Schizosaccharomyces pombe: one gene and its partners. The main gene of each other region encodes a partner of the protein of the gene in region 2 in a complex. Each region holds a gene or a part of one and is shown on either strand. Other genes may lie near its edges.

Region 1 (7,540 bases), on a different chromosome or scaffold from region 2:
CGTATTTATTGTGTTTCAGACTTTTCATTCGTAGAATCTGCTACCACAAAAGTTTGACGGTCCATCGGGCATTGACCTTGAGAACCGCTAGTAGCTAACCAGTTTTGAATACAGTGAGCATGAAATATATGCTTGCATTTCCCCCAAACTAGCGTAGTTAGCCTTTAATTAATTCTGTGAAAGCTGATGCCCATGATAAACTCTTTTTAACAAAAACAAAGTATGAATATTAGATTAAAGATTATTTGAACACAACCAACCCAATTGCGCAACAAATTTTCATGCTGATACCCCCTTAGGATGCAAAGTATACAAGTAAGCCTCCGCAGAGCATATTCAGGAAATAAATACAAACATATTCTTACCTATGGGGCAATTGTCTCCAGGACTTGTGCATTGAGGGCAGCATCCATCGAATGGAACACGACATATACCACAAACGTCGTCTTTTGGGGTATCCCACGTCCAGTTAGCAATTGCATGGTATCCTAGTGGTTAGAAAACAATTTTATTTCCAAAATATTCGCTTACTCAGTATTTTCACCTTCATAGTCTTTGTATATTGTATTTGAGATCTAATTAAATAAACATTAGTGTTTTTTGCTAGCTAATGTTTTACGTTCTACCACGGTATTAAGAAAACAATTCAGGCGAAAAACAAAATGTCGTAAGAAGAGAAGAGTTAGTAGATTTACAGTTGATATTTGGCTTTAGCTATACATCTTTTCGTTTTCTGAAAGTTTAAAATTTCTAACTAAAACTAATTTTCATTGGACTGTAACAAGCCGGCTACATTCGACATGCTAACAAAATTTTTATATTTATGATACTTTGCTTCTTTAGCTTATAACATATTGTTGAGCTCAAGTTTTATACTTTTTTACATGAATAATTTCAAATATTATTCAAAATAATCAAAGCGCAGAATTATGAAGAGGCAAGCCTACATACAGCTCAAATTTATAAGAAAAAAGTAGAGGTTTTGATTCATAGTGCCTCACAAATTCATCTGGGAAAATTAATGGCAATGACATGTGACTTGTCGATTCAAAGAATGAGAAGGGGGTAAAAGGCTCAAAGGAGGTGATTCATTGCCGTTTCATGGAATCGATAATACGTGTTTTGACAAACAGGCTAAAGCCGAAATATACATCCAAATCTCTAAATCTGTTCCAGAAAACCAACCAACGCCTCTTATAATGCAGTTCTAAATGCAATAGCCTGTAGAAAAAGACAAGTAGATAGGGAAACATAGAGTGTAAACGAACTATAAATCATACAGCGCTTCTTGAATAAAATCATGAAAGATTCGCAAAAAAAAAGAAATTTACTTGCAGAAGTTGCAATGATTGTGTCAAGGTTTATGTTGATTTTGTTCAATGTATTTTCGCACCAGTGATTCAACAGGTGGAAGACGAAAGCGAGGTTGACGCAAGTAACTTAAGTATGCTCTTCTAGGTCTTTTAGATAGACCATTTTCTTTGAGGACAACAATACGTTTAATTTGTGGAGAGTAAATTGGTAACAAATATTCGACTCCAACACCCATTACCACGTTTCGTAACAGGATTGAACTTTTTGGTCCACGATGCCGAATTCGCAGTAGATAACCAGCAAATCTGTTGACTGAATCTTTTGATGGGTATTTTGAGTAGCTTTCAACCAGTAAAACCGCGCCTGGTCTTACTCGATTTGGCTGCGAGCGATGAAACATTTTGAATCGCTCAGATTGCTCATCCAATACTGAACGGCACTTTTTTTCGAATAATGATAACACATCTTTGTGCTTTGGACCTGGTACTGGCTTTGGAAAGTTATAAGGCCGTTTTAACGATCCAATACCTCTCTTTTGTAGCCATTGAAAGCCCAATCCTAAATTGAAAAAGTGTTTGGCATTAAACATGTCTTCCAAAAGTCATTAAATACCGTTCGTTAGTAAGAATGACAAAACACTATATTCTACAGAGTATCTTTTTAAGTAAGTACGATGGTATTCAAAATGAATTAGCAAATTCTGCACAACGTATTTCGTTATATGTTATTTATTGTCAACCTTCCATTACGCTATATTAGACTATGTAAGTTAATACAGTTGATTATATATTTTTATATGATTTATCCATCAAGGATTGTGTTTCTGACCTTGAATGTTCAAGGCAATAGAAAGATTCCTGTTGAACCCGAATGAATATACGTGTTCCAATTCAGTTACATGGCTTCTCATTGTAGTTATAATACTATCAATAACTCGCTGGTATTCAGAAAACTTCAATAGCAAGATTTGCTTTTTTCTTTCCACCTTAATGTTCCATTTTCGTAAAAGATATTATTTTATATGCAATCAATTATATACTCTAATATGAATATGCGTTAATGTAATCTCTGTATTCCTGATTTCGAACTCTCCTTAATTAACGTTAATTTTCTATACTATTTTCTCCACAAGCAAATCTTGCGAAACGAACGATACGATAATGATTTAGAAAGTTGATTTACTCAAAGCAACTTTAGTTTCTGTATAACATTTGATACTCTTTGATCAGTTCTTTTTTTATTTTTTTTGATTTTTAGAATAACACTTTTCAGGAGCTACTGTTCGAAGATAATCCTCTCTTTTACTTTGACTGATATATCATTTCTCTAAATTCAACAGATTATCACGTAAGATAGAAGTCATACATTCCTTTCTATTTCCTTCTCAGGTCCTATAAAAAAGTTACGACACACAAAACATTATAGAGATATCCATATTCAAGACAAAAATATATCAACATGAAAGTGTAAGTTGAAACCAGTCTTTTTTCTTTTTTTCTGTTTTGTCCATCTCTAACTAGCGTCTTTGGCAGGACCTGCTCTGCTCCTGGTAAAGTACTTATAGCTGGTGGATACATTGTTTTAGATCCTCAATACAGCGGGCTTGTTATTGGTTTAACTGCCAAAGGGTACGCTTCCACAACGACTTTGGACGATAAATGTGGAACGGTTCGTGTGAAAAGCCCTCAATTCATTAACGCTGAATGGCTTTATAATATTGATTGGACTGTATCTCCTATTCGAGTTCATCAGATATATGAAAACTGTGAATTGGAAAAAAATCCAAACCCCTTCGTTCAACTGGCACTTTTTTATGTAATTAACTACTTTTTTTCCACGGGGCGACAACCTTTATGCTGGCAAGATCTTCAAGTTACATTGCAGGTAGATAATGCCTATTATCACCAACCACAGTTAAAGCCTGATCAAACAAGCTATCCAAAATTCAATTTCTTAAACTGTACTTTAGGTCAAGTACATAAGACTGGTTTAGGAAGCTCGGCAGCTATGATTACAAGTCTTATAGGTTCATTATTTTTAAGTCTTAGACGACTAACAGATGACACTGGTGACAAATCTCTCAAAATTGATGATTCAACCAAAGTCATAGTTCACAATCTGGCACAAATTGCCCACTGTTCTGCACAAGGAAAAGTAGGAAGTGGGTTTGATGTTGGCGCTGCCACTTGGGGAAGTTGTATTTATAGAAGGTTTGATCCTAAATTAATTGAACAACTGCTGGTCCCATACGACGAACAAATAAAGAACATAAATTTTTCCACCGAACTGAGAAAAATAGTTTCTAAAAAATGGTCAGATGTTGTTCCATTTCAATTGCCTGCTACTTATTGTTTGCTAATGGGGGACGTAGCTGGTGGCAGTAGCACACCGGGTATGGTAAAAAAAGTACAGCAATGGCAAAAGGAAAATCCAGAGGAATCTAAGAATTGCTTTGATGATTTGTATTCAAGAGTGCTTTCCATCAAAAACTGTTTTCTTTCTTCTGAAAGCTTAGACTCTGAACTTCAAAGTCAATTTCGATCCATTCGTCGTATTCTTCAAAGAATTACCGTTGAAGCAAAGGTTGACATAGAACCTTTAAAGCAAACAAATATTTTAGACAACATAGAGCAGTTGCCTGGTGTCATTGGTGTGGGAGTTCCTGGAGCCGGCGGATTTGATGCACAATTTTGTTTGGCCATTAACCATACGGAGATAATCGAAAATGTTATCAAAACATGGAAAGATGATGGGGTAGTACCCATGGACGTTTCTCCTGCTTTCGATGGGCTAGCCGTAGAATAAACAAGACTAACTATAGAGATTGCTGACACAGTATTGGCGCTATTTTTCTAGTTCTAGATCTATGATTTCTATTCTATTTTCGCTTTCAAAATCTCGTTCGTCAGTTTCTAAAGAAGTAGTGAAAACCGTAGACAGGAACTCTCTCCATCTCAATACTCTTTTGCATTTTGTACACATTCCTTCGATTGGAAGAACCTGGCATTCTTCTGTCAGAAAACTGCTTGCAAGGCAAGTTAAATGATTTATTGAATTGCAATCCGTAAAAGGGCAATTAGCCCGCAATTCATCAGATTCGATACATTCGTAGCATAGGTTACACTTAACAGGCTCTGATATTGTCTTTCTTAAACATAATTTATGATCGTAAGTTTTTTGGATTACTTTTTCGTGAAACCCATTTAACCATTCTTCGTCGAAGTATACATTGATATTACCATAAGTTTTACCAAGTTGATTCCATTTACTGAAAGCAGTTTTATTTAGAAATGTGATGTTTAATGGCCATCTTCTCCACGTATCACTGTCAACCAAATGCTTTAAACCTTTAAGACAATACATAATGGTTTTTTGTTTTTTTGAACGGAAATCACAATCTTTAGTGTACCTCGAGATTCCCAGATTTTGCCAATTCCATTCGAACTTTAAAGCAGACACTTTGTTAGGAAAGCCGTAAACTAAACATGAAATCGACCAAGGGCGCCCGTGTTTAGTTTTTGATGCACCACCAACTATTTCCCCATTATGTTGCCGCAATCGCTAAAACAAATTAGTTTCCTATAATAGCACAAAATACCTACTCTAGGTGGATCTGGTGTGGAACCGATATAAACAGCTCCACTTGATTGTGTCCTATTCGACTTTAGTAAATAACAGCAGTAGAAATTGCACAAATCCATGTTTCATAATTCTTTTCGATAGCACTTTTCTCTTAACCCGTGGTAATCGAACAATTAACTAGTGGTAATTTTATAAGCTTGTTAAGTTAATTAATTGAAAGTATAATCTAAAAGTATTTTTTCTTTCAGCTTTGTCTTCGAATAATAGTAAGAAAACAATGTAAAACAAAAGGTCACCGTTACTGTCTTTAGGGTTATCCACGTAAATCTGTAAGATTAAATTGTTATTTGACGTGCTTCATTACTTTCTCTTTCACTAAGGATTATTTATAATTCAAAAAAAAGGAAAGAATTACTGAACCTATTTAAGCACCGTCTAAGCGTGTTTTTTTTGTTGTATTAAATTCTCAACAAAGCTACTTCAAAGGACCTACCTTGTCCTCTCCTTCATATACACTAATTAAGAAATCTTTAGATTTTTAATACTCGGTCGTCAATACTCAATGATTGCTAACAGTATACGATAGTTTTCTAAAAAAATCCAGAAAGCCACCTTTTTGAGCGGCCCGTAATGAACTTGCTTTCTCATCAGCTGCGCGACAGATTTCCAATCAAAGCAATAATATCGAAGGCCGATGAGGTTATTTTTGCAAATTATAAGCATACTAATGATTTCTTCAAAATTACAGCAACCACCTATGCGTTGATAAATTCAGTCATTGTTTCAAACAATTGCTGCAATAGGCGATTTCACTCAACTTGGCAAAAAAAAAAACATGATGACCTTACTGCTACAGTCCCCGTCATTGATTTTAGAAAGAACCAAAAACTTACATCTATTGTTGTAAACGCAATTCAAGCTATCTATTGGTATGCCAGACGATCCAATTGCTTAACTGGTATAAATGAAGCTGAATACATTTGGAAGAGCTTGATTCCTGAAAGCATTTTTTACCATTTTGTTTCTCTTCAAAGTTTCATACGAAAATATTTGACTGATGTTTTTTACTGTTCAGCTCAGAAAGTTATTTTGCTTTCAACTGACGATAGTGTCGTATCATCTGAAAAGTTGTATATAAGGATTGCTTCCATACTTTCCAACGCCAATGACAAAGTTTCTTTCAAAGAATCATCAATCAATACTAATACTGTCTTCAAAGATGTTTACGTTGAAGTTAGTTCGCACAATGACGAGTTTTTGTTGAAAAATTCATCAAAATGCTGGGCATTCACAAGCTTACTCGTTGATCCTTTGCACTTCATGTTTTCTCAAATAGTTTTTGAAGATTTATCCGGTAAAAAAATCATGAAATTTGAAGACACAGCTGTTAGCACAGCAAGCAATCATTCAAAACAATTCACGAAAGGAAATTTATTAGCAATTAAGTATATTGGAGGTCTATACAACGCTGTTTACTTGATGGGTTTAAAAAAAAACTTGCTTGCATTTGTAGAAAATGAAAAAGATGACTTATTTGTCGCAAAAATTTTTTTATTAGCATATTCATCTTCCAAAAATCGAAAGAAAATTGTTCCAGTGGACGTTTGGGATGCCATGATTGACTCTTTATACGAAACAATAAATGTCGAGGAGACAAAAAAAGAAACTTACAAGTTTACTCGAAGCATAAAAACTGTGATTCCTAATAAATTAATATCTAACGAGTCAATTTCAATATTATCTATTCCTGAATCAGAAAAGACTATATACCAAAATTTTGATTTATATGTTTCAAAGTTTAACGTCGCCAGGAAAGAGTTATCCGAAAAAGAACTTTTCAATAATTCTTTTTCTTCTTCATTTAATACGTTGCTCGCTAGCTTGTTGGTTAAGCCAACCTTATGTCTGATTTCTTATTTAATGATTGCAAAAAAAATGGTTGTATTACAGGAGGCAAACCGCTTATTTCTTAAATCATTTGCCCATCCATTCCATTTGGAACGATACCATCTACATGCTGTAGCTGCAATGGGTGGTCTGTATCAAATTATGTCTTCTACTCATCTGAAAAATTTGTTTTTCTGTTCCAGGAAAGGAATCGCTCTGACAAAATTACATAGTCAGCAATACAATGAATCAACGTTGTTTCAATACTTGTCAGAATTTGTTCATCAGCGACAAAAGTCGCTTACACCGAAACAGAGAATCGCTATACAAGAACTTATTTTAAAATTTATGCAAAGAAATTTTGAAAATAGCCTTTACCACCAATCATTCAGTTCGCACTGGTTTATATCTCGACTATTGATCAACCCGATTCGAATGCTCTGTTGGCATATTACAGATGTGGGGAAAACGCTGGATCTCGGAGAAGCAGAGAAGTTACTAAAATATAATCACAAACAATGTCCGTACATAATTTACCCATCAAGCTTAAAGGCAGTGCAAAAGTTAGGTGGATTACAGTGTATCATTAGGAATGATAATTTGAGCCATATATTCAATTGTTCAAGGAAATATATCAGAGTACAAAGATATTCTGACGATGATTTATCAGAATCCAGTCTTCTACCGCGGTTGGTTAATTTACTTTTGTTTTTTGAAAATTCAATGGGGGAGGTTGCATGGAACAAACTTAGTCAAA
Region 2 (7,581 bases):
GTAAAGATAACTGGCACGGGGAGTAGGAAATATGATTTTTTTCACTGGGAAACAAATCCTCTAAATTTGCAACATAAGTTGAAGATAAATCCTCAAGACTAAATTTATAAACCTCTTGGTTTTCATTCGATACATTAGCAGGACAAACAAAAGACAGAAGGGTAGAGTAAAGATCAGAAAGAAGTTCTGTTTTCGCGAGATAAATAGTAATCTGTCTTGTACAGTCAACAAAAGAAAAAGTTTTCCTTTGGTAACACTGTTGCATTAAAAAAAATAAGATTACGGTCCAGTTCGACTTGTGACGCGAAAGAGCTAACGAGGTCCATAAAGCCTCAATTTCGTTAGGTAAATCATTAGTAAACTTTGCAGTGACTTCAATCAAATCAATTAGAATTACCGCCGTAAAAGAATCGAAAGTTTTGTTTTCAACATCCATCTTTAGCTCCAAATTTTGTAGCCACGGAAGTAAAACCGTCACCAGTCCACGTCTATGTTGATGACCATAATTGAAATAACGTAAACATTCTGAAGTTAAAGTGAATGAATCTTCAGTAAAATCGCTAGCAAGCTGTACAGAAAATAAGTATTGAGGTTTCAAGTATAAAGCGGGGTTGCTTGATTCCAAGAATGTTTTAAATTCCATCAATGCAGTCATAGTAAAATTATTTAGATGAAAATTTCCAAGTAACTCAAATGCTTTTAGCCTTACCGAAAGATTATTCGTGGAAAGGTTTACCAAACACAAGGGCAAAAGCTTTGGTTTACTCAAATTGTTTGGATTTATTTGAATAAGCATTTCAGAAAGCGACAAGAAATAGTAATTAGAAATAGTCTGCGAAATCTCTTTAGAAAAGCAACGGTTGATTACCTTCTGCAGCAATACTTCATTGCTGCTATTCTCTAATAATAAGGCGGTCAGGCCTTTTCTAGCCAGCCCCACTATAGCCTTGGAGGGAGAACCAAAGACAGCAGTAAACCAATTAAGCAGTATCTCTATGTCGAACAAAAACACTCCTTCAGTTAATTCCTGTTGTAGCTTTGCTGTACATAACGCGATCATTGCCTTAATAGCCAAATACTCGAGGTTTTGCTTTCCAGCTTCAAATGAAGCTAACAACTTATCACGCTCACGAATATCTTTATTGTTACCGCGTATATGAGCTCTCATTAGCTCTTCGCGATTTTTTGTAATTGCACGAGCAGGACCAAATCCAGTCCATTCATCCAATAATTTCCAACACGAAGCACGTCCCGAAAAAGGAAGAACCTCAGACGACGGATGCAAATTCTGAACCAGTAATACTTTCTCAAGTAATTGAGAAAAGTAGCACCTTAATTTCAAATACTTCTCATCTGCTTGGACATTAGGAGTACTCAAAAATCCCTTTAAATCTTTCAAAAATTCAGATATAACAGACAACGCTTCACGGTCTTCATTTAATAACTCATGCAATAAGAGATGTGATGTCATTGCAAAAATGTGAGCTATTTCAGATCGCAATAACAAATCAGGTTTATTACGGCGCTTCACAGAAGGGAAGTTTAAGCCTGCAAAAATAAACTCTTGATGATCCTGTTTGAGCACAGATATATACGGCTTCAAAGAACGTACTAATTGTGGAAAGGCGTTTACGTTTATACAGCCAATAGCAAAAACAACAGCTTCACGTATAGGAGAAAATTCAGTAAAAATGAGAGGCAATACCATACTAAAAAGACTTTCTGCGCTAGTTATCTTTATGGTTTCCTGTAAACCACGTAAATGGTTTCCAGATTGAACAGCAGTAAGTGTCCTCCTAAGGTCAGTGTGCGAATAATCCACGTTAGAAGTGTATGTAATTGTACAACATGCAACAATAAGGTACAGCTTCCACTGAACTAATAAAAACTCAGGAAAATTATCATTTTTTACAGCAGACTTCAAGTTAAAGTTTAATTCCGAAGATTCAATACGCGATAATAATTGCATAGTAATACTCGGAAGTTTCTCACAAACAGTATTTCTAAGCAATGCCATAGTGGTAGGAAATCTTTCAAAACAAACCTTTATAAAGCGAGGAAATACATTGTACCATATTGAAATGTCAACGCCGCTGTTTGACGTAGCTAGTTTCAAAAGCATATCCTTGGTTCCATCGTTGATAAACTTGCGCAATCGTGACCTTTCAGCAGCAGTCGGTAAGTGACTTTCGACACTCAAAATTGAAGAATCGCAATCTTTCAGAACATCGACAATTGTCGGTTCAGAATATATGTCACCAACTTCAACTTTATCTGAAGAAAGCATCAAATACTCCGTATTTAATTGCTTAACATCATTAAGCAAAGCCACTGCAAACTTACGGATTCCAACTGATGGTGAAGATAAATGAAGTACACCAAGTGATTGAATTTCTTCAATTATCGTCCAACTTTGAATGTCATCATAATCTTGTTTTACAGAGGCAGGAGTATTGCTTTCAGAACTTGCACACGATTTATTACTAAGGACAGAATTCCTTTTTTCAATAACTGCTTCTTGCTGACTGATCCAAATTCTAATAACTTCATGGTAAGTTCGTAACAAGTACTCTGAACCCTTAACCAATTTCCGAGAAAGACAAGATATCACTGACTTCGACATTTTAAGCCCAGAAGAAAAGTATATCAAAGAGTTATGACAAACAGTATGGATTATTTTGTTTGAACAATTCAAACACTTAACATATGCATCAATTACACGTTGTTCTAATTTTCCCATGAGACAAGGAAACACTTTGAGTGCATTAATGTACAAAGCAAGCAAACTGGTTGCATTTTTTGAATCAAGGTAACAGTTGGTATTAGTGGAGAGCTGAAAAACGAGGAATAGAAGCTTTTGCGAAAGATTATGAACAAATTGTTGTAATGGAGTTCCGACGGCAACTTCATGTAAATCAACGAACTCAAATTCAATATATTCGAATATAGTACTATCCGATTTTTTGTACTTCATGTCGTGCAGAATGTAATAAACAGACCGAACAACAATCATTAATTTCTCAGGGCCAATATTCTCGGTAAAAGCATCAGTAGACAAAGGTGTTAAAATCTCTTTGATGACAAGCTCTGGAAAATGAGCACCGACTACACGCACAATTTGTGCATAACCATCCAATTCTTCTAAAGTGGCGAATGGAACCACGCTAAACTTTTTGCCAATCGAAAATCCCGATTTCAAAATATTAGAAATATTAGAATTCATTATGGAAGGTTCTTCCTTATACTGATTAGAGTAAGTCCATACAACACGAGAAAGATGGGGTAGACCGGTGTTCCTTAATCGTCTGTCTTTAACACGAAAAAAAGCAGCATCAAGGGAGGATATCCAATGCTTAAGGAAGAACTGTTTGGGAGAAAGACATAGAAGTGTACAACAAAAAGGGAAAAAAACATTCCAGTATTTAGTTTTCGTACACATTTTCAGTACTACAGGATATATTGTTTCAATGGTGCGCGACCACGCAGGAATATTCACCTCAAATGTAGCTCGACTGATTAATGGTCGAAGCAACTGTTCCATAAGATATGCATATTCGATTTTCAAGGCTGTGTTGGCTTTCATGAAAAAGGAAGTCAATGATTGCAAAAAAGCAATTGACTCTTCTAAAAGAGTTGTTGGATAAAGCTGCAAACGCAAATAACGCATTGCTCTAAGGAGATGGACAAGAACCGTTTCTTTTTGCCTGGAATCACAGCCAGACTTTTCCAAATGCTCAATCTCTTCAATAAAACGATCTGATACCATGACGAAGTTAAATCGAGACATACTTCCCACAAGGAATGCAAAACTTTCCCAATTAGCAAGACTGAAATAGGATGACGAAACTGGTAAATTTTTAGCGCTTAGTAGCTGATGAAAAACGCATTCTAATAAACAAGATACAGTGCTTTCTTCTAAGGCATTTGACGGTATCGTTTCAGCAATCTCAGTCAAGACACGGCAAAGTATATAGATAGAAATAGAACTCCTCCGCTCATTAACAACCCGAGGAGTACCACTTGAACTTGTAATATCAACACGAACTTTTCTCCAACACAATAGGGATTCAATGACGGCAACCGGTTTGCTACTAGCTAAAGCTACAAGAGCTTGAATACATCTGTCAAATTCATTATCTTCCCCCTTTTTAAGAAGGAGGATAGCTTCTTGCTCTCCAACGTTGAATCGTACAGGTTCAGCATTCTTACCTTCGTTGGCATGATAACGAGAAAGAAATGATATTTTTTGTTCAGAGAGTCGAACAAACTGGGTGAAAAGTATGTGAAGCGCGTAATCAACTGCCGTATGGTCCTGCTTCTCAGAATACAAAGGACCATTTTCGACAGGTTGATCGTGAGCAATTTCATTCAAGCTCATTCAGGTTGGCATTATATGGTTATCTACTAAATAGACGAACTTCAAAGAAAAGGAGTATGCAAAGTAAGGGTTTGAGAGCAATACCGCTAGCCTACAGAAAAGTGAAGAAAAAAGTGTATAAAAAAGCTATCTCGTTAGTTTTTATATTTAAGCATGCGTAAGCAAATTGACTAGCAATCGATTGTTAAAATTTAGGCGTGAATGGATTCAAAACTAGAAGTTTGTAATGGCTAGCACTCCGAACAATAAAACCTCTCAGCACACTGCAACAATTTTTGCACATAAAGGAATATAACGCACTGCGTTGTAGTAGGTGTGGTACTATATAGTAGGTGATATACTTAAAAGTCTAACTTCAAAATGCCCAAAATAATTTTTAAATGAAATGTAAAAAAAGAATAACCTTCTGTATGTTTGGTCAAAACTTTCTGAATTCTATGTCAGAAAAGATAATATGGTACAAGTTCAGTTTTTTTTAATGATTTTTAAACCGTGGCAAATGCGATTTTTACACGCTAACTTTTTGGAAACGAATTATAAATATTTGTTGAAAAAACTTGAAAGTTTAAGAACAACATATACAATGCTTAATTATCAAATTATTCGCGTGGAAAAAAATAGAAGCATAAATCAGTAGAAAAAGAAAGACATATACGCAAACTTGTATACGCCCAAGACAAAGTAACAAAATAAGTTATAAATTTAATCATGCATTCACATTTTTGAGCATTAGACAGTAATAAACTACGATGACCGTGACGGGAGTTTAAATAAATAATAAAAAGAAGAAAATGTTATTTCGTGCAACCTTAAGTTGAAGGAAATCCAAAGGCATTGATGCATGTAATTATTAGTATATCCTTTTGAAGTATCTCTAAATAGTGAGCATTGCAGGTATGATGATGAGAGTTTCCGCATGGTTTCATGAAACTTGAGCAGAATTAGCAGAAGTTATATACTTATTGACACGGCGAATTGTAGGTTCATCTTTGGGCCTTGGTAACGTTGTCTCTTTGTCAAAAACAACACCGACGTATTTCCTCCGTTTGCGAAGAGACACATCCATTTGAAAAAACTTAACATATCCGGAAACAAGAGAATATATTGTGTGATCTTTACCTAGACCGGTATTATCTCCGGGATGAAATTTTGTACCACGTTGTCGAATTAGGATCTCACCAGCCCTAACGAATTGGTTTTCAGACCTTTTTATGCCGAGACGACGACCAGCAGAATCACCTGTGTTTTTCGATGAACCACCGCCATGTTTAGTAGAAGTACGAATAGGAGGGAAAGTGAGAATATTTGATGCTTTCTTATAAGCTAAACTAGCTTTAAGTAATTGAAAATTGTTAACACGAATAAAAAGCCCTTGATTGATCATTGCACGGTGAACTTTGCATCAAATGAAGTACGTATTGTAAAAGAAAAATGTGTTAAACTGATTTGGCAAATAATTAGTAATGTAGAAGGATACTAAATATTAAAAAAATTATATCTTCGTCGAAATATTGGTTTATACTAAAAGGATGGATTCGTTGTAACCAATCTTCGAAAGTTTCTACCTTACATTTCCTTTATCCCAATTTACGAGTCGTGGTAATCGTATAAAATATTCTTATTTTACAATAGTGTAGCCTTACATTTTCTGTTTGAAATTCCTTACTCCTAATATCTCGCTAAAAGAGTACCATTACCTACAATTTACTTTGTTTATATTGGAAGCATGATCGCTAATGAAAAAAAAAGTAAAAGACACTAAATTTACGTCGACAATTTCTATCCTTCTTTTTAATCATGGAAAATTCACTTGGCTCTTCAATTCAAACAGCATTAATGACTGCATGAAAGAAATATAACTTTTTCAAAGTTTTAGCCTTTATTGTATTGTCTTTATTACTCAATGATATTCAATTTTACTTGAACTTTTAAAGTATGCAGCTGGAATCACATATAATAGATTTTTCTGTGCTACTAATTGATGTCTTAATGCAATTTCAACTGTTTTGTTCCTCAAAGCAAAAATTTATGAATAAAAACGGATGTGCTTCGTGTTACTAGTTGGTGGCAGGAACCAGCAAATTTCATTTTCTTGTGAAGAAACCATAAATTCTACCTTGACAGCGATATGCTTCAAGTTATACAGTATATGTGCTGCCTTAGTTCGCAGGATAATGTATCAGGATATTGTCAAGCTTTAACTGGATTTGATTATACTCGGAAACTTCCTTAGGTTAAAAACTTTTAAAATTGGCATAAAATCTTTTTCTCGTGGATCTTCCAGCCATAGCACGACAGGGAGTACTAATTAAAGTACGTTTTGCTTAGCTGTACCTACGTTAATGTCGATCTGAAGCTTTAAGCTACTACTTCCACCTAATACTGTCGTGTCGATCCCATAACGGTGTGTTATCGACGATAAATACATCAATGTACGCGTTTTTTATTTTATGTAATTTATTAGAATATTTTTTAAAAGTTGTAAAATTTTTTGGTATATATTTTTAAAACAGGGTGGTGTTGCATTTCTAAATATTTCTCCATGTATATTGATTATGCACTTTTCCGTTTTCCATGATATGCCAGCTTTTGTGGCACGAACATAATTCTATGGGATCAGGAAGAGAGAAGAAAATAAGAAAGCTAGGAGATAACTTTTCATTACCATATCTGAAATTTGATTGTGACCATAATGACAAAAATTATCGCGCGTCAAATAGGCCATTTGGACTTTCAACTGGACTGTCAGTGCAGTTGAATGCTTCGAACATGACTGATCCCTTTAAATTTTTGTTAGATAATTGGCATACAATTTTCAAAAATGGAGCAATTAAGCTTCTGCCACCTGAGGGATGGCAAATACCTGTTGTTCTTGATCAAGGCGCTTTTGAGTTTCAGTCAAAACGCCAATGTTTAAATAAAGGTTGTCTCAATTATGAAAAAAATTATGATTATTTTAAGAAACTTAAAGCATTTCATGAAAGTCGCGGTTTATATTTTTATCACCCACCGATTATCGGGAATCGCCCAGTTGATTTTTTGCGTTTGCGTAATGCAATCTCAAAGTTTACTAATTCCGGCTCTTCATTAAATAATGAAATTTTACATAAAGTCATAATCTATTTGCGTCTTGAAGATACTAAAGAAGTGAGGCAGGTTCTCACTCGTTGCTATGATCGATACATCAAACCATTTGAAAGGGA
Region 3 (7,668 bases), on a different chromosome or scaffold from region 2:
TCGTGGTTTAATTCTTGGCATTCAAGACTTGAATTGGATTCTATTCTAGCCATTATATCTCAGTTTTCTCTACCTGTATACAAGAAAATGAATGAAGAATTATCAACTACTGACGAAGCTGTTAAACTATTAGCTAACTCTGTGCTAAATGATGTACATCCTCGAGTTCCCAATTTTCGCTACTTTATTTGGAGTGTCCCTATGAATAATTGGTTTCAAAGTCTTGTTTGGCTTTATACTTTGTCATTTGATGAAAAAGGTTTAATGGCTACTCCCTCTTTATTTACAACCTCTAAAGTGTACAAACAACATGGAAATATCATGAAAGTTGCATCTCCTGAAAACAGTTCTAACTCAATGGAGAATGCCACAAAATCTATACTTGACAAACTCGATTTGCTGTATTTACAGCTGCCAAGTAGTGTCAACCACGATTCCAGTTTACGCAACAAGTGATTCTTAAATTCAATGCGTAAATTAAAGTATACTTTTGTCCTAAAAAATATTTGAAGAAAACCCTGCATGCATGTTATGGTATCTTACTTTGAAAATTTATTGATTAAATTGTTCACTAAAAAATTATCTTGGAGGATTTGCATCCACATACTGCCATCATTTAATTATATACTGATGACCAGAATCTTGCCTTGCTAATTTTGATTTTTGAACTTTTCGATTTGTTTTCATTCTATTAATTAACTAAAAACTGGCTTGGAGAATCTTCTGCTCCAACCTTGTCACTAGCTTTAAAAAAGTCTTTCGAAGTTTGATTTGGAAAGTTGGTGTTTGAAAGTCAATCTCGTATACTTTAGAAAGACCCACCTTTATGAGAGAAACGATCCACTGATGCTAATTCATTACATGTATCCAAATCAATGTATAACCTTATATAGCAATGAATTGGTTGCTAAAAAATTCTTAGCTTTATTTCGCTACACTTATAAATCTGTTTACTATATAAAATAAAAAATCCAATTTCAAAAGTTTTGAGTCCCAATTTTTTGGGTAACGAGGATTACTTCATAAAGACCTTAGACCTTTCCTTTATTTTTTCCACAAAACTATTTATATTCATGAGTTTGTTTTGTAATTGCAATGAATAACTAGCTTGTCATTTACGAAAATTGCATATCAAAAGTATTTGAGTAAAATCGATATCCTGTTTGGCATAATGGTTCAATTTATAAAAAATTCGTGTGGTTAAGAGTAGAAATATATTTTCGATTTTGCGAAATGCTTAATATGCGAAGATATTGTATTTGAGTACTTCAAAAGAATACAACGCACAGTAAACCTTTTCTTTCAATAAATTATCAGGTAGAGGTGGCCTTATTACTGTTTTTTAATAATTTTTATGCTTAAATACCTATTGGAAGCAAGAAGTAATTATGATTACCAAAATTGACTCACTTCCAAAGGACCTAATTCGCAAAGTTGAAAATGGTGAAAAGTTGTTGCCAAATCAAGAAATCGTTTATTTTGAAGAAAAAACAGTCCCCTATAAAATTAGAAGTGATGAGGAAAGTTTTCCTTTGGGCAAATTGATAACTTTATTAGTAACTTCACAGAGCTTTATCCTTTTTGATGAAGAACAGAATTCTGGCTGGAAAATTCCATATGAAACCATTACTCTTCATGCGAAACAAAGCAAGGATAAGCCATATGTATATGTTCAATTAGAGGGTGAAGCCATTCGACCCTTGCTAGATCACATTCTTAAATTTGAACGGTCGTCAGGAACATTGCATGAAGCTCCTTCTACCGAAGATGAAAATGAATTCACAGATGATTTTTTAGAACTAACATTATATGTTACTGATGTTGATTCATGTTACCAGGCTCTTTGTACTTGCCAATCTCTACATCCGGACACTTTTTCCTCAGATAATGATGTTGAAAACGCGAGTATGGGAAACCCTATGTCCTTATTTTTTGATCCAAATCACCAGTGGGTTACGGCTGAAAACGTAGATACCTCAGCTTGTGATAACAGATTTGATTCTCCGGAATCGCCTGTTCTGAAATGGCATCGCACAGAGTAACTTTCATAATGTTGTATTCTAACGTTTCATTCATACTTTTTAAAAAGTAGTTTATGATAATAAATAAATATAAACAGGCTTCTAAATTTACTAGATAAAATATCATTACACATTTCACTAATTTGTACAAAATTAATCATGTAATACATATTACAAATGACAAGACTGTAGACTAAATTTCCCATGCAATAACATTTTAATCATTATTTATACTGGAGAGGAATTGCAATAGCATGTGAGGCGGAAAGATGAACATGCTTTACGGTAACTTTAACTTTTCCAGGCAGTTTGGCCAAAGTAAACCGAACATTTGATACAAGTGCTTCGATGTTTTCTTGTAGCTCCTTGTCGCTGAACCCTAGTTTTCCAACCGGCAAATTTATCGAGCCTGCATCATTTTGCCGATAGTCAACAGCTGTGAGGGCAGATTCAATGAGTGGCTTCAATTCATCTGATATAGTACCTCGTTTTATTGAAGGCATAAGACGTTTTGATCCTAATAATTTAGCAACTTGTGGTAGTAATTCTGCCGAGTTGGGATGAGCAAAGCACTTTGAAAATTCAAGGGGCTCTGTTTGAATTTTTTTTACTAAGTCTTCTGCACCAACATAGGTTGCACCCAATTTTAAAGCTTCATCTGCAGCTGCACCTTTAGCAAACACACAAATTTTAGGAGGCTCTTGAAATGGATGAGGAAAGGCAATTTGACCACGAGCTGACGGAGCGCGTCGATTACTTTTTAAAGCAATTGAAAGCATATAAGACCCAACATATGGAACAGAAATGCTCACAGATTTGAGATATTTTGTGGCTTCAGGAACTGTCATCGCAAGAGCGGGAAAATTGGATTTCTTGTTTAGTTGAGAAATAAACCTTTTGCAGAAACCCTTTTGATTTTTAAAATTTAAAAATTCATTATGTGACAATAATGTTTGCCGTTTACCTAACGCTATTAATGAACTCATGGTTTTTAATCTGGTTCGTCAAACTGTCACCAAGCTACTGGATGTCAGTCAATGAACCTGCTAAAATCATAAATCTCTAAACAAATCTGATCCAGCTGTCAACTTTCGAATTAATAAAGAATTATCTTTCAAATCAAATTTCCTTATAATGTTTTTGATTAAAGACTAAAAATAAACGGTTTCGTTTAAATTCCACGTTGTGGTAGTTGTAAGATACTGTAGGGTTATACTAGCAAATCCATCCGTTCACGATGTATATATTTTAAGGAGTTAAAAGTTTGTTCATCGGAGTTTTGAGGGATATAGCATTATGAATTTTGTTTCATAGTTATATCTTCACCGCATCTTGTTAAATCTGCGTCAACTGAATAGTTGTTGGTGAATTGTTGTTAACCTTTGTTGTTGATAAAAAATTTTCCTTATTTGAATCTTTAATATGATAGGAATTCATTTTTTGGATATTGGATGTAGCTTCTGGATAGCTGTCCATGTACCCGACAAGTGAAAGCATGTTCGTTGACTCATTACAGTCCTCATCTTGGAAATGTGAGGGCTCAACTGTTACGTACGTAAGAGTTGTACAGGTTGTTGCTCTTGCTCTTGGCACAAAGTATGCATTACTCAGCTTTTTGTTGTGAAGCATGTCTTGTATCTTCTTCAAGTTGGTGGCTGTTGAACCCATCTTAGCAGACCCTCGGTTATTTAGTTTTGTGTTAGCATGGAATACCAATGGTTTTAACAAGTTTCCTTGTTCTCCGTCATGGCTCAATTTTCCTGCTTCTTTCTTTATATCCAAGTTGCCTGATAACTGTCCACTAAGTTCCTTATTTTCTTGCTTACAGTTAACATATTCATTTGTCTGACTGGGTTCTTTGTTTTCACCAGTCTTAGGCTCATTCTTATTTTCAACCTTACTTGAAAGGGTCGTGGGATTCTCAGAGATTTTGTTTGTAGAAGACTCTATTGGCTTTCGGATGGTAACAGTAGAGCTTCTTTCTGGTTTGACGAACAAAGCTTTGTTGTCTTGCTGCGCTGTTTGTTCTGAAGTAGGTTTGTTTGCAAAAAATGCTTGCAATCTACGAATTCTGTCAGACTTTCGCTCCGCGAAGCAAACGAAAATCCTTTTTTTCCCAACCATCATTCCATTCAATGTGTCTTTGGCTCTAACGGCAGCCTCTATTTGACGAAACGCTACGAAACCATAACCTTTGGAGATTCCTGAATTTGGATAGCATGCTAACATGGAAGACAAAATCGACCCGAAGGGTGAGAATAAATCTTCCAGCTGACTCTTGCATGTGATGACGGTATCATCTAAATTTTTAACGTATAGATTTGAAGGGTCAATAGGAGAATTAGGGATACTTGGAGAGCTTTCACGTAAAGAGTCCCAATGCACGATTGACTGAGGTTTATTATCTGGGTTCCAAGCGGCTGGATGATTTTGCTGATTTGAAACACCGGTAGTTGAAACGCTACCCCATTGGCTTTTCTCCTTAGTTGGTGAGCCCATAATCCATGTCATCTTCGAACATGTAGCATTTTCGATATTTATTTGAGTTTTGTTAGCGTTTTCCGATGGGAAAGGCCATAAGCTTTCACCAGTCGGCGTTGTGGGAATTGACTTCACTGAAGAAGAGGCTTTATTTTTTATACTGACCTCTAAAATGCTTCCTTTGTATGGAACGTTATTTAATTTTTCTATTGCCTTAATAATGAGGTTAGTATCATGAAATAGATTATGCAAATATTGGGGTTTTCTCTTCATATTGAGCTTACATTTTGACATGATTCAACTGAATCCATAATCACTTCGCCATACCGGAACCCTCTTTGGTCAAGAAACTGGCTGACCGCCGTCCCTTTTACTACACCAGCCTGTTTAAAGTGGTTATATAAGTCAATCGGTGTGACTTCGGCAGGTAGGTTCAAGATACTAAGGGGTAACGTAGAAGCGAAGGCATTTGGTACAACTTGCATGCTAATATCTTCCAAACCAAGAGACGGTATGGTAAGCGTTGTTTCTGGCTTCGGGTTACGCGAATTTATGCCTCTCACAGTTTCCCAATTTCTTTCTTCGACATTTGGAATAAATTCCTTAATCTGAGACTGTTTGAGTCCTGGCTTAACGTTTTCCTCATCTGTATTGTTTTGGATGCTAGGATTGAACACGTTCGCAGTGATTGACGTATCGTTAGGTTTGAATTTTTTGTCTGTCAGTTTCGCAGGATTTACGACTCTTGCTTTAATGGTCCTTTTTTTTAGGTTAGTAATTTTTTGGAGAATGATTTTTCGATTTTTTTTTCTGTAATGCTTGTCTCTAATTTTTCCCTTCAGTCACTTACAATTTTCTTTGGCCCAGAGTCATTCCTTTAGCGTCCTTTAGAACTTCTTCAATGCTTTCAGCATTAACGAATTTGACGAACCCATATTGCACTCCATTTTTAGGAGGTTTAAAAGGTTTCGCTTTTTCCTTAGGATAAAAACTATCAAGTAATCGACGAAAGATGGATTCTACTTGTCCTAAAGAATTGATTAATATATCGCTTTTATTTATGTTTTCTAATGTTTTTCCTCGTGTTTTTATCCTTGACTTGTGTGTTCATACCATATTTTGAAAAGTGTTTGATGATTTCTTCATCAGAAAGTCGGGAATCTATATTTCCTACATATATAGTACTGCTTTCATCTTCATACTGTCCGGGGACAGAGAGTTTTGAATTGTTCATTTTATCTCAAAAAAGATGTGTGATGGAAAGGAATGGTTGTTGTTTTTGGTATATATAGGATCGCTGTTTGTTTACATTTCGATGATGCATGACTGAAACTATTACCACCATAACAAATGAGAGTAAACAAACCTTAAATTGACCTCTTAACATTTTTAGAGTAATATTTTTTGTTTTTTTTTAAAAATGCTTGTTTTATATTTACAACTTGATTTCCTAATATTCATGCAGTTTGGTTCATATCTGTTTTATCCATATCTCTACTAAATCCTCAAATCGCATTTATAATGACATTTTATTTTATTTTATTATTAAAGTCAATATTACCTGCTCGCATTAAAAAATATTTCAAATTCATACCATCCTTTTTTCGGCTTTCGCTGATTTCAAATTAAAAGTTGAATTTCCTTAAATGAATCAAAAAGCAATTAGGCTAATATTCTGGTGAATCCATTCATAAATTTTCAATTATTGTTGTTTTTGGCAAACCAACTGATATCGCACAACCTGTCAATAAGTTAGGTCAATCAGTTTATTACTCAAAATCCAGATGTTACTAAATTCTTTCATCTGCTTTTTTCTTTGGTTTTCTTTGATTTTAGAAGTATGATAGTTTAGAGCTTTACTCGCCTATATTCTTTGCTAACTAACTATACAGTATTTTACTGGCAAAAGGTAATAGATTTAGATAAAATAAGTTTGAATCGAATGACCATTAAAGTAAGTGAAAAGCAATAGGTGAAGATTTAGTGTAATCATTAAAAAGGTTATAAATGTTAGCAGTTCTCCAATATTAAGAGCAATTTATGTAGCTCATTTCAGTTCCTTCTAATCCATTTTAGACTTAAAGCTTCATTCTGTCGAATACCGTTTTCTTCAAATACTTGTATAAACCTCGGATTTTGTCACTGTTTATGAACAATGAATTCGTCTAAATTAACAAAATGCAAAATTCTTTGTTTTTTTGTTTTTATGATTGTTTGACTGAACAAATAAATAAACATATACAGATTTAAGGGTTAACAATATCCAATGATTTTCCAAGAATATTATACTGCTGGGTTAAGGTATTTTGATATAACATCTACGACACTACTCAATAGACACAACTACTATACAACCTTCGGGTGCCATCAGACAACAATTATTCACTATAGTATTTGTTTTAAGAATTATTAACTTATTAGTAAATGTTTTATTGTGTATTTGGAACTTTAACTAATACTATCTAAAATCCGGTAATCTCGTTCCTTTTTGGCTTTCGAATCTAGTGTGGTTCATATGCGATCCTTTGTTGTGATTAGTTTTTCATAGGCTCAGAGAAATTATGCTAAGATTTGGAATAAAAACATGGAAGCGCTCTGTGTTGGCGATACGCAGGTCGTCGACCGCTCCACATGTGCAGATCATCTCCAATTTGCAAAAAAAGCTGCTCAATGAGCTTTATTCTTTGAGAAGATTAGTCGATGACAATTCTCCTGCAACAATTCGTGTAGGAAATGTCTCCCTTTTGCTTTCCAAATCGAATATTAGGAGGAGGATTGCGCTACAGGCGTTAAGCTCTTCTGCCGAAGATGTCGCGTGTGTCAAACAAATCACACATGCTCTTCTCGCTGCTCCCTTTATGCCTGAGTCAAAAGAATTGAAATATGCCATGGATCACAATGGACTAAACCCACTTTATATCTCGTTTGGCACAAATGCTTTGTTTGAGCGAAATGCTAGGTATAGTACGTCACATTTATTTCTTCCAAGCGACTTCCTACAAGTCAATAATCTTGAAATTATTCACCTTCCTCCGGGAACAGTGGACTCTGATATTTTGGCTAGTTGCCATGCTCGATATATATGTTCTACTTCTTATTTAAGAATGACCTCCAGTGACTTTACTACTGCAGACACGTTGGTGCTCGATATTGACCCAAAGTTGCA
Region 4 (7,146 bases), on a different chromosome or scaffold from region 2:
CGTCCTAATGCTCCTGAATTAATATATACAAGAGTCAGGATAGGCAAGTACTTACGGAAAGGAAATGAAATTTTTGGAATTCTCTTTTTTGTCCTGCTAAAATTGCAATATATTAGAAATGGTCTTATGAAAAACACTTAAGAATATCATATTTAGTTGTAAACCCATTTTAATGAATTTTTGAAAAGAACTTTAGAAAATATGTGCCAGTATAAAGATTGAGTTTCAATTATCAATTAATGAAAAGCAAATTGAAAAGTTATTCCTAATGCCATAAAAAGGCGAACAATTTTAACATCGTAAATAAAAGTAAGTAACAATACCATGATGTTACTTGAAAAAGTAAATCATCGCCAAGATACAAAATGTCAATCTACCAAGATCAGATTCGTCCTCAAATTGGTTTTGTTTGCTACAGGCTATTAAAGTAGTACAATTGTTTGTTGAAGGTATGCTCGTTTGTTAAAAATAATATAATTTGATTTCCTGCAATTTTGGCGGGTATACTTTTCGAGTCTGCATTATAACATGCGCATGTAGTATAAAATATAATGTTTCACATCTATTTGACAATTGACACTAACTTGAAAAAGATCCTAACCCTTTAAAATTTTGAAAACCTTCACAAAAAAATTGACTTCTATTTCCTGCGACTAAGAGTGTTCTGATTGAAATTGACATTAGTAGGGGAAATTATAATTAATATCTTTCATATCAAGACACTTTAAATTTTAATTCTATTTGATTTTGATTTCCTTGCGTTTTTAATGCGCTAACGGCAAACGTTCATTGATTTCATAAAAAAGTTTCGTCGGGTTCTATACACCTCAGGTTTTCAACCAATATTAATATATAATTTGAAAATATATCTATCCTTTTTGCTACGATGAGTGAACCGGCTGTTGTCTCTATCCTCGATACGGATCTTTACAAACTCACCATGCTTCAAGCCGTTTTAGAGCATTATCCGGATGCTCAAGTATCATATAAGTATACAAACCGGTCCCCAAAAATGGCATTAAATCAGGAGGCTTATAACTGGTTACGGGAACAAATAAGAGGCTTACGGAATTTACATTTACTTCCTGAAGAAGAGCAATGGCTTCGCAAGAACTGTCCTTATTTAAAGGAATCATTTTATGAATTCATGCATGAGTTCGAATTTGATCCTGAAAATTCAATTTCCCTTAATTATGATTCTGAAACTAAGGATCTCTCAATCTTTATTCACGGCCTCTGGAAGAATACCATTTTTTATGAAATTCCACTGCTTGCTCTCGTCTCAGAATCTTATTTTAAATTTGTCGATAAGGACTGGTCACCTGAGGGTCAGTTTGAAAAAGCTTACGAGAAGGGTAAGCGTCTCATCCGAGCCGGATGTGCCTTTACTGACTTTGGCACTCGTCGTCGTCGTGATCCTCACACCCAGGAAATTGTTCTCCAAGGTCTCATGAAAGCACAAGAGGATTTTAAGGGCCCTGGAAGTTTCCTTGGTACATCTAATGTTTACTTCGCCGCCAAATATAATCTAAATGTCTCTGGTACGGTTGCTCACGAGTGGTATATGGGCATTGCAGCTATTACTCAAAATTATAAACAAGCAAATCGTATTGCTTCCTTAAAGTGGGTCCAAACTTTTGGTACTAGTCTTTTAATAGCCTTAACGGATACATTCTCTACTGATGTGTTTCTCAAATCTTTTACAGCCAATTCTGCCGACGATTTAGCCAATGTTTTCCATGGTGTTCGTCAAGATAGCGGTTGTGCTGAGGAATACATTGAAAAAGTCGTAAAGCACTATAAATCAATAGGTGTCGATCCTTCCACAAAAGTAATTGTTCATAGCGATGCTTTAAATGTTGACAGATGTATCGAACTGTACAAATACTGCGAGAAATGTGGCATTAAGTCTGCATTTGGCATCGGCACAAATCTTACCAGCGACTTCCAAAAAGTTTCCAATCCCAGTGAAGTGAGCAAACCTATGAATATTGTTATTAAGCTTTTTTCCGCTGAAGGAACTAAAGCAGTGAAGATTAGTGACGATATCATGAAAAATACTGGTGATCGTGATGCTGTTATTCAAGCCAAGCATCAATTATGCCTCCCTATAGCATAAGCCATTTCTTTTATTTTCGAGCGTTTCTGCAGTACTAATCTTGGTTTTTTTTTTCTTATTTTTTGATAGATAGACAGAGTTTGAGGCTCTCTTTTATTGAGCTGCATTTCATAAGGCGTGACTTAGAGTAAACATAAAACTCACACTTGAAAATCTTCATTTTCTTTTCTGCTTAGCATATCTGTTTCGTTATCTATATTGATAGTTTAATGCTAAAGGTAATCATTTAGTCTAAGATGTGTTTGTAAACTAACGGTATGCAATTCTTTAATTTTATATGGCAAACGTGTTTTTTTACTTTGCTTGTTTAACGAAGGAATAATATAAAACAACTAAGAAAAGGAGAAAATAAGAAAACAGGGACAACGTTTTAGTCGGTAATAGTAAAAAGTCATATCATTAACTGCTTTTATTCAAGAAAAAAGAGGGGAATAGTTTATAACAAGATAGAAAAAAAAATAACCTCAAGTATGACCAGTTACAAAATGCTCTGGCGTCTCATAAGATTAAGGTACGACTTTGACGCCCATGCTTTTAGCTGTTCCAATGACACTTTTACAAAGAGAAAGAAGCTCTATTCCTTGTAAGCTTGGATCAGTACTTTTCAATTTGGCAATTTCATATATATGCTTCAAGCTTAATTGTCCCTTTATATCATGTAATGGGGAACTTGAACCTTTTTCAAGGTCGAGGGTTTTAGAGATTAACCAACTGGTTGGAGGAGTATGTATAGTGAAAGTAAATGTTCTTTGAGGTGTGACAGTAATTTTACAAGGCACTGGGGTATTTGGCATCCAACCTGCCGTCCGCGCATTAAATTCTTTACAAAAGTCTATGCTCTTCAACCCGCGAGCACCAAGGGCAGGTCCAATTGGAGGCGTAGGCGTAGCTTTTCCTGCCGGTACAATTAATTTTATGATTGTCGTTCTAGTAGAAGCCATAAGGTTAAAGAAGAAAATACAGTTGTAAGTTGTATGTCTCTCATGCAATAAAGTAACATGTTCTTCCTTAAAAATAATTGTAATTAGAATAATAACTAATTTGAAATATTTGGGTGAATTAATTGTAATGTGTTTACTTATTTGTAATATTAAAGCTTTTAATAGCAGTCAGAAAAATTCCCGAATAGACCAAATGTGTCCTTCTCTTCTGCTTGATTGAATAGAAGTAAAAGTATTGACATTAAATAGGCAACTCAGATAAATGGAAAAGACGTTTTCATAAACGTTGTTCGTTTTAGGATTTTTTTGAAAAATTTTAGTTGATTTTTGAATCTCAAATACGGATTAGTTAAAATGTCGCAAAATTTTTCATTTGTTGAACAACAATAGCGCTGAATTGAAGCCGTTTAAAAGAAGCAAACCAAAATTTAGCTACATAGCTTTTCAAAGTTAACTCCTTACTATCAATTAATATATTAAGTTTTTAGGGATTGGCAAATATCCTAACTAAAAAGCATGATTATTTCATTTGAATCACAAGCTGAAATTAAATGGTCTTTTCTCAGCTATTTTATTACTTTCAATAAACATTTTACATACCATTTTATGGTAAACAAAGTAAAACACATGTTTACTGGAAGTCACAGTCTGTCACTAGCACATGCCATCGATATGTTTCTTTTTCCTAATGTGTATTGTAATTAAAACTATAAAGGGTTTTCACCTGAAGTGCTTGGGCTATGTAGGAATGCTGTCACGCGATGCAGCTTGAATAATTAGTAGAAATAAAAAGATTTCAAAGTGCAGATTTCTATTAAAACTCTACTCTTAAAATTAATTATTACAAACCAACGACTATCTTATTAATTTCCATCCTAACATGCTGAGTGAAGTTTGCCATAATCATCTTAACCAACTTGCTATTTACTACACATTCTTAACAATCCATCGTTTTCAGCGAATGTAAGGATGTTAATAAATTAAAATGCTTTTCTATCGATTTAAAAGTTGGTATAGGCTTCAAGCCAAGAAAAGTCCGTTTATTTACGTTGGATTGCCGTTTTTGAGCTCAGTATTATTAGTCTGGTCATGCTTGATCCCCATTTCCCAAGTCAAATTTAACAGACGAGATGAACAAGTTAAATCCTTGTCCCGGGATGCAGAGTTAGACATTATTAAAAGAAGAAGAAAGGTCGACGTTAATGAAGAATATTATGTAAGTAAAGTGCTGATCTTGTTTTACAATATTTAAGTTTTGGCAACCAGCTGCAAAGTGCATTTGCTTTTCGTGAATTTACATTCACCAGTTCCTTTTTTATTAACCACCTGTTATAGAGGATCTTATTAGATCAGTTGAATCTACAGAACGAGGAGTACGAAAATAAACGTGTAAAGAGGTTAAAAGGGGAGCCTACATGGGAAGGAAATTCAAGCGATAAAGAATGAATAATGAACGATTTTATTGTTATTTTGTTCCTTTATTTTATTATTAATTATGGAGTATTGAAAAGGATACAAGTTTTTGAAGTGAGAATGCTGAAGACGACTTTATGATACAGAGTGTTTTAGCATATGGAAATACTCAAATAAATAAAGCAAGAATTTTTTTTTCTAACATGAGAATAATATTTATGTGGCTCATATATAATTATCTTCAATTTAAAGGACCAAATACTTACACTTAAGCATATTCAGTAGAATAAACTTTCAATGAAGATATTTGAGCGTAAATTTCACTATGAATATGTCACTCAAGCCTAAAAGCGTTTTAATAATAGGAGCATTCAGAAAGGTTTCTTTACTAGTAAACGGTTTATTTTTGGCTTTCCGTTATATATAAGTAACTTGTTAAATAGAACTTGTTTTGAAAGCAATCAAATAAGTGCCATCTCTCTTTATTATATGCTTTGGACCATTACAATTACTAATGATACTAACGCATGGTCTGATTCTATCTACTGTTTGTCTAAGTTGTAAAGAAGCCTTTTCGAATGCGTTTACAACGAAAGATGGAGGAGCTAAGGACAGTATTCAAATAGTGACACACTGTTAATAAGGATTAAATTTAATATTAATTTCTTCTTTATAATGGTAATACTTGGTATTGCATCGTCTTTAAGTCATTGAAAATTATATATATTATCCAGAAGCAGTGAACAAACTAACGCACTATAGTAAACAAAAGATCTCCAATACCCGTAAAAATTTATTTTTAGCGTACGACTAGTTTGGATTCCTGGTGAACGTTCTTATGTATAAGACGGCGTGATATTTGCAAAGCTGATTTATTGCATAGGTGATATTAAAATTATACAAGCCGAGATATCATATTCGATTAATCTAAGTTATCACAAGCGAATCCACTTAGTTAACAATCTACCACAACTTATAAATGGTTTTGTTACTTGCTAACTATGCCGAAGATATGTACATATTTGCTAAATTGAAGCGTTTAACGAGTAAACCAATACTTTTAAACAATAAAGATTTCATCGATTTTTTAGCGTATGCTATATGCAAAAAATTGGTATTTGACCCGCTAATGTTTACTGACATACTTGTGCAAATACTTATGAGGCATGAAATTGAAAACTTATTCAGATGAAATGACTAAATTTTACCCTTTCCCCGAAGAACTGTAAAATAATTATGAAAGTTCAGCTATGTCATCGATCTATTACTCGATGAGCTATTGCACTAAATTGCAATTTTTTGTGCCATATAAATTTGTTCCGATTGATTTGAATCGGTGTTTTGGGAATATATAATGTACAAGAGAAAACACCAACCAAAGTACTTTACTTTCATTTCCTTTTTAAATATCCGCAAACAATACATTGTGCTCTTTCAATAATTTTCTCGAGCTACTTGTTATAGTATACCAAAAAAATGAGGGTTGAAACTAACTAATAGACGCAACAATTAAAAGAATAGTTAAAGCCTCAATAGTTGAACCGAACGGCCTCTTTGAAGCATTTGTAAGCAATGGCCAGATCATGATCAGTTACTATCAAGCTCACCAGATATTTTTAACTCTAAAACATTGGTAGTCACTTGATTGAGTAAAAACATTCATGGATAGAAATTTTTCATTGTTAACTTTAAGCATCAGGTGGAAGATATCTTAAAATTTCAAGTCCACTATGTTCAACTTACATACCGGTTTTCTAATAAAAGCACTTTAAACTCCTGCATTGGAATTCATATTAAATTTTCTGACTATTGTAACTCTCAATTCTTATAATATTTTCATTGCTTTAGTTCGTGATTTATTTACCTTAAATTGTTTACTGCAACATAGCGTATATATCAAACATGTGCAGTAAGTACTATGAAAAACATCAGTTTGAGTAAACTAGTGCCAAAATGAGTAAAAGCATTACTCATCTCGTCCTCGATACAGGTGGGATTATCTGCTCTAGTACTTTATTAAGAAATTCTGCGGAAAGCTTTTATACCATTCCTCGAGTGATTGCAGAAATTCGAGACGAAACATCGAGGAAAAATTTTGAACTTTGGGGCGATCAAGTAATTCAAAGAGTTCCAAAACCAGAATTTATAAAAAAAGGTATGTTTTATTAAAAAGAAAGTTGTATAGTGGTTGAAGAAAGCAACCAGCTAGATTTTATTCTGTGCACAGTCATCTCTGAGAAGTGAAAGCAAGGTGGGTGAAAAAGCTTAATCATATTGGAATTTGATCGCTTTCTTACACCTGCTATTCTTTTCAACTACTTCCATCATAAATACTTTGATTCTTGGTAGCAGCTTTCTAACAAACTATAGTTTCCGAATTTGCAAAGCAAACCGGTGATTACTCCTCACTCTCTGTAACCGATATTCAAATTTTGGCTTTGACTTATGAGTTAGAAGTCGAGTTTAATGGTGGTGACTGGAGACTTCGCAAGTATCCTGGTCAAAAGCATATCAATGGAAAACCCCCTAGTAATTCAAATTCTACTGAAGATGCATCTAAACCCACATCAAGCGATACAGCTTCTGTAAAAGAAACTGAGAACAGTGATCCTAAATCCGCAGAGAACGAAGTCTTGGAAGGTGAAACGACACAACATTCCAATAATAAAGAAG

The links.
Region 1: mrp7 (region 2) and img1 share a complex: the UniProt entries of both Schizosaccharomyces pombe proteins name them as parts of the mitochondrial large ribosomal subunit.
Region 3: mrp7 (region 2) and mrpl1 share a complex: the UniProt entries of both Schizosaccharomyces pombe proteins name them as parts of the mitochondrial large ribosomal subunit.
Region 4: mrp7 (region 2) and mrpl19 share a complex: the UniProt entries of both Schizosaccharomyces pombe proteins name them as parts of the mitochondrial large ribosomal subunit.

What each region holds. Positions count from the first base shown.
Region 1 is NC_003424.3:1,636,118-1,643,657, reverse strand, and holds img1 (mitochondrial 54S ribosomal protein bL19m), read right to left. Parts: upstream 1,964-7,540; 5' UTR 1,904-1,963; coding exon 1,355-1,903; 3' UTR 726-1,354; downstream 1-725. Other genes in the region: anaphase-promoting complex ubiquitin -protein ligase E3 subunit Apc11, read right to left, coding at 6-148, 366-488, 532-550; erg8 (phosphomevalonate kinase), read left to right, coding at 2,773-2,780, 2,847-4,119; structure-specific endonuclease catalytic subunit Slx1, read right to left, coding at 4,159-4,875, 4,917-5,015; SPOM_SPAP27G11.14C (uncharacterized protein), read left to right, coding at 5,527-7,540. UniProt on the Schizosaccharomyces pombe protein: Component of the mitochondrial ribosome (mitoribosome), a dedicated translation machinery responsible for the synthesis of mitochondrial genome-encoded proteins, including at least some of the essential transmembrane subunits of the mitochondrial respiratory chain.
Region 2 is NC_003423.3:2,856,863-2,864,443, forward strand, and holds mrp7 (mitochondrial 54S ribosomal protein bL27m), read right to left. Parts: upstream 5,899-7,581; 5' UTR 5,763-5,898; coding exon 5,301-5,762; 3' UTR 4,617-5,300; downstream 1-4,616. Other genes in the region: morphogenesis protein Mor2, read right to left, coding at 1-4,378; Lid2 complex histone demethylase subunit Lid2, read left to right, coding at 6,953-7,581. UniProt on the Schizosaccharomyces pombe protein: Component of the mitochondrial ribosome (mitoribosome), a dedicated translation machinery responsible for the synthesis of mitochondrial genome-encoded proteins, including at least some of the essential transmembrane subunits of the mitochondrial respiratory chain.
Region 3 is NC_003424.3:1,789,237-1,796,904, forward strand, and holds mrpl1 (mitochondrial 54S ribosomal protein uL1m), read right to left. Parts: upstream 3,216-7,668; 5' UTR 3,008-3,215; coding exon 2,246-3,007; 3' UTR 2,164-2,245; downstream 1-2,163. Other genes in the region: ftp105 (Ubp5 interacting protein Ftp10), read left to right, coding at 1-456; protein saf5, read left to right, coding at 1,389-2,042; poly(A)-binding protein Crp79, read right to left, coding at 3,357-4,715, 4,787-5,261, 5,353-5,530, 5,616-5,736; protein Mmc1, read left to right, coding at 7,064-7,668. UniProt on the Schizosaccharomyces pombe protein: Component of the mitochondrial ribosome (mitoribosome), a dedicated translation machinery responsible for the synthesis of mitochondrial genome-encoded proteins, including at least some of the essential transmembrane subunits of the mitochondrial respiratory chain.
Region 4 is NC_003424.3:3,203,475-3,210,620, forward strand, and holds mrpl19 (mitochondrial 54S ribosomal protein uL11m), read right to left. Parts: upstream 3,067-7,146; 5' UTR 3,061-3,066; coding exon 2,626-3,060; 3' UTR 2,488-2,625; downstream 1-2,487. Other genes in the region: npt1 (nicotinate phosphoribosyltransferase), read left to right, coding at 887-2,119; cytochrome c oxidase assembly protein Cox16, read left to right, coding at 4,046-4,276, 4,396-4,506; ribosome biogenesis protein Nob1, read left to right, coding at 6,427-6,628, 6,844-7,146. UniProt on the Schizosaccharomyces pombe protein: Component of the mitochondrial ribosome (mitoribosome), a dedicated translation machinery responsible for the synthesis of mitochondrial genome-encoded proteins, including at least some of the essential transmembrane subunits of the mitochondrial respiratory chain.